2 linked regions of the Drosophila melanogaster genome follow. The protein of the gene in region 2 interacts with the protein of the main gene of each other region in a pairwise test. Each region holds a gene or a part of one and is shown on either strand. Other genes may lie near its edges.

What was found. Proteins that work in one complex are often made in the same cells at the same time.
Region 1: the proteins of CG17574 (region 2) and GABA-B-R1 interact in a two-hybrid assay, tested with the Drosophila melanogaster proteins (one large-scale study listed by BioGRID).

Annotation. Positions count from the first base shown.
Region 1 is NT_033779.5:15,014,473-15,019,379, forward strand, and holds the start of GABA-B-R1 (metabotropic GABA-B receptor subtype 1), read left to right. Parts: upstream 1-1,858; 5' UTR 1,859-2,924; intron 2,925-4,907.
Region 2 is NT_033778.4:12,848,843-12,855,443, forward strand, and holds CG17574 (uncharacterized protein), read right to left. Parts: upstream 4,699-6,601; 5' UTR 4,641-4,698; coding exon 4,481-4,640; intron 2,741-4,480; exon of another isoform or gene 2,727-2,740; coding exon of another isoform or gene 2,606-2,726; intron 2,502-2,605; exon of another isoform or gene 2,429-2,501; coding exon of another isoform or gene 2,323-2,428; intron 2,107-2,322; exon of another isoform or gene 2,060-2,106; coding exon of another isoform or gene 1,933-2,059; intron 1,387-1,932; coding exon 1,257-1,386; intron 1,200-1,256; coding exon of another isoform or gene 1,197-1,199; coding exon 1,119-1,196; intron 1,055-1,118; coding exon 895-1,054; 3' UTR 516-894; downstream 1-515. Other genes in the region: CG30486 (uncharacterized protein), read right to left, coding at 1-123.

The DNA.
Region 1 (4,907 bases), on a different chromosome or scaffold from region 2:
GTCAAGCAGTTACTTCCGTAATCTTATGCTTATTTAAATATACTATTCTTTAAAAAACTTATAATTTCATTTTAACAGAATATATTTATATATTTACAATAAAACATTATGCATTTTTTCTCTTTTCATGGAAATCCATAACAAGCCACAATCTTTTCAATTAACATTATCACACTATTTCATGTTGATTGCTGATTGCAGCTGTGCCTGCAAATGTTTTAAATCGCCCATTCAATAATAACTTTCATTTTATTGAATAGTTTTAGGAGATTACCATAACATAAAATAAACGTTCTATTCAAAGCAAATTCGCTAAATATTTCACTGAAAACATTTATAATTTTATGTAATTAAAACGTGAATTTAGAGTGAACTAGAAATCAAAATCAGAGTTCAAAATAATAGCTGGCCTATGCCAAAATAACATTGGAATACAGAAAATTCATAAATAAATCATCAATTTATCAATGCATAACAATTGCGCAATGTTAATTTTCAAACTGCTGTTTACCAATTTGCTCTTGAGTGGATTTGGTTTAATTAGTGCCGTTTCTGCTCTAACTGTCTATGAAATCAATTCAAATATCTAAACAATAAGTGCGTTCTGTAACCTATACGGCAGTGCAAATATAGGCCATAACCCATGCCCTCGTATTCACACATCTGAAAGTTATTTAATCCGCTCAGCAATTTCGATTGCCATTTATTCACTGGCAGAGTTCAAGACAAGTGCATTTCAGCATACCCGAATTCCACATGCGGACATAAATATTTGAGTAATTGATTTCCCAAGTCGACGATGGGAAAACTTCCAATTTCTTGGCTTGACTACTTTTGGGCCAATGCAAATGGTTTATTTTTGACCGCAGAATCCTTCGACTTGAGCGGACAGTTGAGGTTCTCGAACTAATTGCAAAATTGTCAATGATTTATTCAGTTGGCAATTAAGGTGCCAACTAACGGTGTGGCTGGCACGGCTATATCGATTTGAAAATATTCAATAATCCCGGAGCCTTGATAAGCTCATCAAACATGCACATGGCCATCAGCAGGGGGGGGCAAGTTTGTATTTAGAGCCAAGTGTGTTTGGTGAAGGGGGGTTAGCTGTATATTTCAGGGTTTCCCCTTTTTTTGTCGAGCGGTTTGGGGGGGGGTTTTGCGAGGGGACACAAAAGTACAAGTTGCTATGGATCAAGCTCAAGGCGTGGCAGTTGGGCATTAGCTCTATGGTGGAGCACGGCAACCAAGCGAACAAAGGTCAACTCGACAAGTGAGTTAAATGACAAGGACCTCACCTTGCCTTCCTTGGGCTTCGGCTTTGGCTTTGGCCCGTGCGTGTTTGCATGTTTGGCTCGATGAGGCGACGCGACCCCAAAAATGAAACTCAACTTTGGCTTTGACTGCGGCTCGGGATTGTGGCGTGCAAGCATTATGGCCTTTCGCTTTCAAAACAATGCCCCCATCCTGTTTCCCGGTTGGCCTAGTGGCACTTGCTCCTTGTTGTTGGTTTTTCGCATTGCCCTTGGCCAATTGCGAGTGAATTTTGATGTTTTGACTGGCCATTCCTGGGGCCATTTGACAACTCTATAAAACCGGTGTCCTTAAGCCCGCCCTCGTCCTTGCGCCCAACCCCCAATTACCGTCCAACTACCACCCACCTACACCCCGCTACACCCACCCACAAAGTAAACGTAATTGCCCGGAGAGTTTCGCGACTTTCGACTTGGCCAGCAAACTGAAAAAGCGAAACTTCAAAAAACCCGACTTGACTTGGCAACTGGAAAAGTGGAAAAGCGGAAGCACGAGCTTTCCCACCGAAAAGCTCTCGTGCTCTAAGCTTTCGTCCTGGCGAGGCGAAAACGTAAATGTCAGTCATGGAGTTCCAGTCGTCGGATACATGTGGAACACAACGAACACAGCAGGAGCCTCTCGCGTCTCATCCCCCGAATACAATGCGAAAAAGTCTGTACAAAAAATAGACAAATAAGGAGCAGGAGCGAAAACACCACTCTGTGCATAAGATATAACTCCCGCAGAACTGAATACCTGCAAAAAGAAATACGCGTTAAATGGAATTACGGTGCGGGAATTGATAAAGTGAAGTGTGTTACAGCTAGAAAGCAAGTGAAATAAAACGAATACATTAATAATTCATGCCCCTCATAGTCAGAAGCTTACTAGTTTGATAAGGAATTCAACGTAAATCTGATATAGTAATGTAGAAAAGTTGTACAAAGTAATATACATAGCATATAGCATATAGCACAGTTACACAGAACACACCGCAAACTCAAACAAAGTTGACAAAAAAAAAGCTCACGCCCCTCACATCTCAGTTTTTTCTCGAATTATTTGTGAAAGTGCAACAAACATATATAAAAAATAAAAAAGAAAAGGGAGGAGAGAGCACAGCAAAAAAAGGCAGTGACAGCAGGACCTGCAAAGGAATTGCCATCATTTGGGGATTACGGAATTATCGGGATCCGTTCTCATTAAAATGGATTTAAGGCAATGCCGATGTGCTGAGCTGCATTTGTGCATGGGATTATCGATTGTAATGCGCAGTCATCAAATTATGTTTGAACAACGCCGCCGCGACAGCGATAATAGCAACAATAACAACAACAACAACAACCAAATCAACAACAAACACTGATTTGGCCCCTGACCCCCTTTGGCAGCACCCCCTCCATCCAACACCCCCTACGACCCTGCCCAAGCAAAAGGAGCAGCGAAAAAGAAGAAGCGTCTTATGAAACAATTGAAGCACCGGCCAAAGGAGCAAAGGAGCAGACAAAGACAGAGACAAAAACATCGGCAAAGGATAAAACGGAGGCCGAGAAGAAGAGGAAGCAGTAGTAGCAAAGCAGGAAACAACAACAACAACAACCGCAACATCGCATTTTTAAACGGCAATACGCAAAGTAAGTGAAGTGTAAAGTGAGCGAGATGGCAATAGAAAGGTGTAGAGTGCCGCGAAGAGAGGCGGAGAGAATACACTTGCAAAAATGTGAGCAGCTAATTCCCAGGGATGTTAAAAAAAATTAAACCCTCATGGTTCAAAGATTCTAGGAGATGGACAAGTGATGAATGGTCAGTGGAAATATATGTATGTTTTAAGCCAAGTGAAATCAAAATGATTTGAGAAGTACAAATAAAAGAAAGAAAGGAAAGAATGATATATGATATTTATTGGTTGTAGTACAGGAAAATAATAGTTAAAATGATATCCCGGATTGATGGTCATTACAATGATCGTACCACAAAACTCTTTCTAACTCAAATTAAATTGTTAAAATTATTTTTCAATACAAATTTGATATATTTTTGTTTTTTCGCCGACAAGATGCATAGATCTTTCATAGAATCTGAAATCTATATCTTTTTTATATTGCTTTTGAGAAGAGTAAACCGATCATCATCTACGATCACTCCTTTTTGTTCTGTGTAGGTATGAAGAGAGCAGGTGGGAAGGCAGTGAAGTGAAGTGAAGCATTTGTCGCATTTGTGCAGAATTCCCGACGTAATTAATGTTTAAAGTCTGTGTGTGTGTATGTGTGCGAAGGTTTGTAAACTAGGTCACTAGGAAGTTAGCCCCTTGACGACCATCCCCTCTCATCAGCGCCTCTTCAGCGGCAACTCTACGTCAAAGGTGTCAACTCGCCAAATCTGCAACCACACCTTAGTTAAGTGAGCCACCCCGTAGCCACCAAAATTATCCACAGCACCACCACCTTTTATTCGTCCTTAACACACCGCCATGATTAACGCGCCTCAGTGCGATTAACTGGCAAACAAATTTGGAGTGACGCTGCGGCGATGTACATACATACATATATGTATGCATGTTTGTGCTAAACCGACAGCATTTCCATTCAATAACACACGCGGCTCGTATGCAAACACTGTAAAAAGGTTTTATGCTAAAAAAGACGCCGTATTTGTGCATGAAAAACTGTCATTCATCATCCAACCAACACAAATAACCGGTAATGGCATCGCCACATTATGGCTTTGTATTTTTTACATCCTCAAACACAAAAAAACTTTAGTTGATTTCTGACTTGCATCGCATTCATCACCCACTAAAGTCGAGCAATCAATCCTCAAAATACGTATACGCACTGTTAGTTCAGTTGATTAATAGGCTAATTATGAAGGAAACTGAAAGGAAACACTAAATCAATAAATCCTGGCAAATTAGCATCAGTATATATTTGTGTTAGTGCAAACATTTAAGTTTTCTATCAATTTTAAATACAAATATGTTCAGAATTAAGATATATTTCAAAGGGAACTATGCTTTGTTTAATTAAGATTTAAGGTTTTATAACTATAAAAGCCTTCAAAATGTGCCATCTATTTTATATTCACTTACAAGCAGATTTCAATCAAGACCACTCTTTAATATGATATATTATGTCTAGAACAACCGAGAAGGCACTCTTAAATTAAATATTTTAGTACCGTAATAAATTATGAAACGTGCTGACGGTAAAATATATAATACAATTCATACTTTAAGTTATATTTTTTTTTTGCCCTATATGGTTTTACGTATCGGTGTGTATGTGAGTACCTCGCACACGCAGGACATAGAGATAAAAAGGCTTCTCCCACATAAAAGTTCTATTCTGTTTTTTTTTTTTTATAGAAAAATATTGCTGGCAGGAGTTTAGAACATTGCCAAAGGGGATGCGGACAGATGAAGGGGCGGGGGCGTGGCGGGTAAAAGCCATAAAACTCAGGCGCCGAAGCGCAAAATGCCCTTGCCCTGAACAAAAAGAAGAAATTGAACAGCAACAACCAACAACAAAAACAAAGAAGAACAAGAGCAAATAAAATACAAACTGCTTATTTATTTATTTGTTTCGACAAATCTCAATTGAAACAAAGCTTAAAAGCTT
Region 2 (6,601 bases):
GCCATAATTGCGGCAAGCGATATGCGTTATTTCCGGCAGACACAGATCCTTGTTGCAGTAATCCGTAGATAACGCCTCCTGGCTGATAAGGACTATTATAAGGACTGAAAGAAGGTACAACATCTGGTGCCGATTGCTGGAGTCAAAATACAAAACTATTTTGAAGAAAACTGATCTATCTATACAGCGTAAAATCCATTGTAACTGCCTAAATGCAGCGTGACAATTCTATAATATATAGAGCTATTACTAGTTTTATTTCCAACAGACAGCCATATTCAACAAGGAATCCAAAAAGCTAGAAGGTTATTATTAAGATATAAAATTTACAATATGTGTAAAACATTGGAATTTCGCATGACTCAATTAAATCAAGGTAATAAAAACATAAAACATAATTGCGCATCTCAACTAAGAAAATAATAAATAAAAACTTTCGATTGGAATGTAAATCCACTAGTAATCTTTAGAAACCCATTTACCCACTGCTTTTTCATTGGCAAAAACATCCGAGTGCAGAAGTAATTGAAAACATGTTTGCATTTCTTGTTTTTGTGATTTTGTGAAAGTGCACATCGAAACAAATGTGCTTCAGTTGCATTTGATGTGCACTTCACTGGTTTATTACAATTAACACTTCATGTAGTTCAGTTTGGTTTTCGTTTTGGATTTGCTTAATATAGATGTATAAATAGAAGGTTGCGCTTAAGTTATATGTACACTTTACATACATCACATGGAATATAAAAATGGCTCGTTGTGCGATCGCTTTCACTTGGTTTTTTACCAGGAGTTTGGAGTTTTTTATGCAAGAAAACATGGAAAGTAAAGTGTTCAGCTGAGTAAAAAAGCTATAACGAGACGGAAAGGGGATCCTCAGTTCACAGTGCGATTTCACTGGCCAAAGTGGGGATTGTAGGGAGCTTGCTTCTCATATCCAGCGGGCATAACACTAGGTCCTGGATTAGCCATGGACATGTCATACGGCGGCGGATTCATGTTGGCAGCCCCGGCGCCAGGATACGTCGGATACGCCACGCCATGCGTTTGCTGACTGCAATGGATAAAAGCATATCAATTAATATTTGCGTTTCGCTGGAGCACTAGCTTCCACTTACCCCGGCATCGGCATAGGCATTGGCATTTGCTGCTGGTTCTGGTGGCTCATCGGCATGGGCATCTGCACAGTCACGTTGCTGCTGGGAAAATGGGGACATTAGAATAGTTTGCGGCAGCACTTTAGGCTCCGTACTTACCCGGTGGTCTGTACGGGGTACGAGGTCGCAGTTACGTAGGCATTGCTCGATGGATAGCCCGGCGGAGGCAGCTGTGTGACCGGATATCCGCCGGGAGCCGTGTGGGTGGCGGAGGTCACCACCACAGGCGCTGAAAGTAGAAAGAACGGAAAAAAAGAAATTAGAAACAGAAAATAGCTGCGCCAATGATTCTGAATCATCGCCAACCGCGAATCGCAGACTCGATAAGCTCCCACTTTTGATTAGACTCATCAGTGTGAACAAAAATTCCCCTTTCAGCACTATAAAAAATTTTCAATATTATATTAATCTAAATTAATGTAAGTCATAAAAACTTGATGTATATTATATTTTGCTTTTTTAATTTCATTTGGGGTTTTTTTGGTGTAATTTCTGTGCTTTTTTTTTTTTTTGAGCTTTTAATCTTATCCACTCAATTTATTTATAGAAAAGGGTAATAACAAGCCCGTGTCACGTTTATATGCACTATAAATACATTTTGTGTTATAATTAATATAAAAAATATTTTTAAAACATATACTGCCTGTATCGAAAACCAAGAATAAGAAAATACTTCACACTTAGACAAATAAGATAAGGCTCAACAAAATTTGCTGCACCACTATTTCTTTAAGTGTAATTGGCAATCCATTCATTGCTCAGTCAATGTAATTACCAACGCCTTCGCTGATTGTGTAGCCAACATTTCGCGCTGCTTTCTGCCTGCGTCTAATGCAAACAACGAAGGAAGTAATGAAAAATATGGCAAAGGCTATAGATAATCCAACCCAGAATGCCCACATTCTCGATAAGTCAGGGAATTTAGCTCGAAAAAACACAATCGCTTTCCAGGCGAACACAGAACAGACTGCAAGTCCTATGTCTGACAAAACCCACTCACTCGGACCGCGTCTAATCAATGTTCGATTTTATGGCCAATACGATAAGCGGGTGGTGTACTTGCATTATGGTTTTGTTTATCTCTGATATTGGCAGTACGAAACAGCTTCAAAATTACATAAATCATAAAACATAAATAACTCTTCCCGTAGCTGCAGCTATTTACCCATGGATCTGAACTTCTTGGCTATGCAAAAGAAGCAGAGGCACATCAACGAGGCAATCACTATGAAGACTGAGACTGCTATGATGGGAATAACAAACGGCTCCATCGCGAATATTATTCTATACACGCTGAACTGGTGCTACAGCGTGGAGTTCACGATTTCAACTGTTTCATGACATTGGGGTTTTTGTGTTTTTTTTTTTTTTTTGTGTAAATGGGAGATATTGGAAACCCATTGGACGGCCGCGTTATCGCCACAAACGGGTGATCCCCGAAAACACACCTGCACCCTTGGTGAGCGCCGCTCTCCGGGTTCGACCACGGGTCAGAAATACAGCCGCGGATGTCATGAAAAATACGGAGAAGGTGAAGAAAAGTATCCAGTAGATGCCCGAATCATCCATGATTATGATACTGACTGAATAAGCGGTGCACAAAGACTAAACAAAAGCGAGAAACTAAAGCCGCCGGATTGGCAATCGAAAAAGTGCCAGTAATGGCCAAAGAAAAGGGCAATCACACTCATAAAGATAGCACTTATCAGTGATAACAGTACACTTTCAACCATTATCATAACTTACTTAAATCACCGAGAGCCTGACGACGCTTCCAATGTAGTGCAACCAGGCCGATCAATGCCAAAATGAATATTTTGAAGGTTATGCGAAAAACGGATATGAAAACCACAGAGCGTTCCTGGGACTCCAGCAAGGAGCTGACCTCCGTTTCGTTATTCATTTCGGGAATACGTTTACAAATTGTTCCAATATCGAAAGTCTTCCGGATTTCGAGCAAGATTTAAGGCATATATCACAACAAGGGCAACCAAAACCGTGAGGATACAAGCTTCGTATGCCAGAAATGTCCAGTTTATGTGCAGTCGCTGGGAAATGTCCTCAAACACATCCAATATGGTGGCATTCATCGTGAGGACCTGCGACCTAACTAAATGGGTTTCATAATCATTTTCTGAATTACCCTGCATTTCGGGATCAACGTACGTCAACACTCAATCCTTTATGACCATTAGCCATTAATACCTAATTATTGATTTGCGTTTAGGCGTAAACGAAGCATTTAGTGGCACATTTGGAAATGGAATCCGAAATAGTAGGGAATCACAGTCGTTGTTATCAGCATATATTGCACAAATATAACAATAACACCCAGTCATTACCCACTCCAAACCAAGTCCTAAATCTCAGTATACCAAGATAGCCGGACTATTTCACAACAGAGGCTTTTAAAGTTTAGGATACTGGATAAGAAATTATTTTTAATTGTATTTGGAGGGGAAATTAAAAGCCTTAAATATGTCTTACATCTTTTAATATTAACTCGGATTTCTCATGCAAAAGACTTTACTTCTAGCTAAAGAACTAAATTCGCACACAATCCAAAATTTCTTCTAGACAATGACTTGAATATTTGAACCATAAATAAAATTGACAGTGCAGATAGGAAGCAAAAGCACTAAACCTTGGGCAATACCCATTATTATCATATATTTATCAATTTACAAGATCAAGTTAGGAAATCTAATGCAGACGCTTTGAATGACGTCTTCGAGTAATGGATTTAATTAGAAAAACAAGTTTTTCAGTGTATTAGATGCAGATACCGCTATCATGTGAGTTTTTACCTCTATTTACATGTGGCAATAATGAACAAAGTGACTCAAAGTGGACAATACGCAGAATAGTTTCAAAATGTTGTTAATTTTATCATTAAAAATTATAATTATAAAATAACTACATGCCACTTGATCTAACTACATAAAGCGGAAATTTTTGATTCATTAAGATGTGTCTCTTTTTAAAGCAGACAGCAGCATAAAAATAATAAGTACGGTATCTTAATAATGGGTTACCAACCTTTACAGTTTTTAATCTCCTTTCCAATTTTTAATCGTAGGCATATACAAATGGCCCCAATACAAATGGTCAATACAAAAATCGCAAACACTATAATCAAACTAAAGTCGTCTTCATTTGAATTCGAATTGAAAACATTCACAAAAAGAAAATTCATGATTGCACTGCAAACGCGACCTATAGACTAAGATAACTATCTGAAACTGCAATTATCTGTGAGTGTTAATAGATGCTGAAATAAGAGAGTTGGCTTATCGTACAGATACGTTAAGAATTGCTCTTACCTTCCGTCTTATTGCGTTTACAACAAGAACAACAACACTTGCAATAGCCCCAGATAAAAAGCATAAAAATGATTGCTATTAATCTGGCACCCGCTTCAGGAAGTTTATCGACACTTGGAGCATCGTATTTAGGTGGCGGTGGGAATTCTAAAGGAGGCATCTTTTTTCTAGTAAACACGTTTGACTGCAACGAACTGAGTAAATGAACTGGTCGAACTGTGTGTCTAAGCTCAGATCTTTTTGGACTGAATCTGGGAAAAAATTCAATTCACTAAGCCCTTTTTATTACGATAAGAAAAAGCGGACGAAAAAAAATATGCATGTTATCGTTTAGACTGTGTGTAAAATATTTATCCAGAATACAGAAAACTTATATAACCAGCTGGATTTTCAGTATTTAACAAGTATGGATGAAACAAGTACTACTTAGCTCTTTGTTTAATTTTAGTAATTTAGTGAACCATTCGCACATTTTTGCAGCGTACTTTTAGGCATAACCAACCAGAAGCCGCTAAAATACCCAATAAATATAAATTCTTGTCTTCTTTGTCTTTCCATCTGCTTATAGAGTCTTTGATATGTGACATCATAAATGGTCTCAAATGTATAATACATTTATTAAGATTTACAACGCACAACAAGTACGTAGTTCAATAAAAAAAACAAATTTGCGATCGATTTGAAATTTATGATTTAGTCACTATGAGTCAGAATTACACTCCATTTCCCAATGAAAGCAGTGACAACTACTATGAACTACAATATTACACCGAAGATGATTGAATTATTTGAAATTATAATAGGCTGACAAAAAAGGAAACTTTACGATCGAGCAGAGGTAAATGCAGTACAAAAACAATACATTGAAGAAAACTGCGATTGAAGTATATTTTGCCATTATTGGTCAAATTTTGCTAAATTCCAAATCCCTACCGATCCGAACGAAAGGAGCAAAGAAACTAAAATCTTAAATCACTTTAAATAATTACTCATACGCATAATATACAAAAGGTAAATACCACCATTCGCTTAAAAATTTGATTAGAATAATCATTACTCACTAAGCCGCACTCAAAAAAGTTTAAAAGATTTCATTACTTTTCTATGTGTATATCAAAAATTATGACCTTTGAATAGAAGTTTTTTAAACTTTTCTAAATTACTAAGAACGTAGTAAAACAGCAACATAGCGTTAATGCACCGAATGAATCAAAATATTTAACCAAAATTTGTAGAAAATTAAAATCATGGAAGCAATAAAAAAATAAAATTATTTTTTCAGTACCACATTCTTAAAAAGTACCATTATTTTTTTGAGTACGCTTAAATGTTGTAAACGACTTATAGTGGCTGCATCCGCTTTTTTTTTAAATCTTGTTCTTAATGTTCTGTTCACATCAGAATTAAATAAAACATATATTTTAAGTTCTTAGCAAAGGCAAATAGTGTATCCACTTTTTTTTTGTTTACGAAAAGAAAGCTACTATATATAAAGTAATTTTCTTAAACTTTGAATGTCGTCGTTTTTGTAAACTTTCTTATTTATTAAGCAGTTGATTCGGCAATCTTGTAGTGTTACAACCATGTAATAAATAACGAAACTAAGTAGTTAAACATAAAAAATTAAATAGATTGTTCTCCGTTCTCCATTTTGTTGAACAAAACAAGACACAGGAACTTCACACACGGAGCTTCGTCATCTGACAATTGGGAAGAACACAGGACAGCAACAAAGGATTTCTGCATCGAACTATACTAACTTGCTTCAATCACATCCTTGCCCGCCAGGCGCTGTTTCCTTTTGCGGATCACGTATCCTATGATCATTGCCACGACTCCGCAGAGGACCACAGCGAAAATGGTGCAAAGGATGATGGTGGAGATCTCCAGATCCCTGTCGTTCGGAACGTGCGGCATCCTAATCGAATTACTCACAACAATAGGTATTTACTAACTAATAGATTCTATCGGCAGGCAGTCTTGAGGATAGTTCGATGGGTCTTGAAACTACGCCACGGTGTTCATTACGCAGAGGTTCGACGATTATTGCGAATCGGATTCGATTCCTCGCCGACTTTTGTAAGAGTCCAGACTGTTTGCATATCCCCACAGACCCGAAGT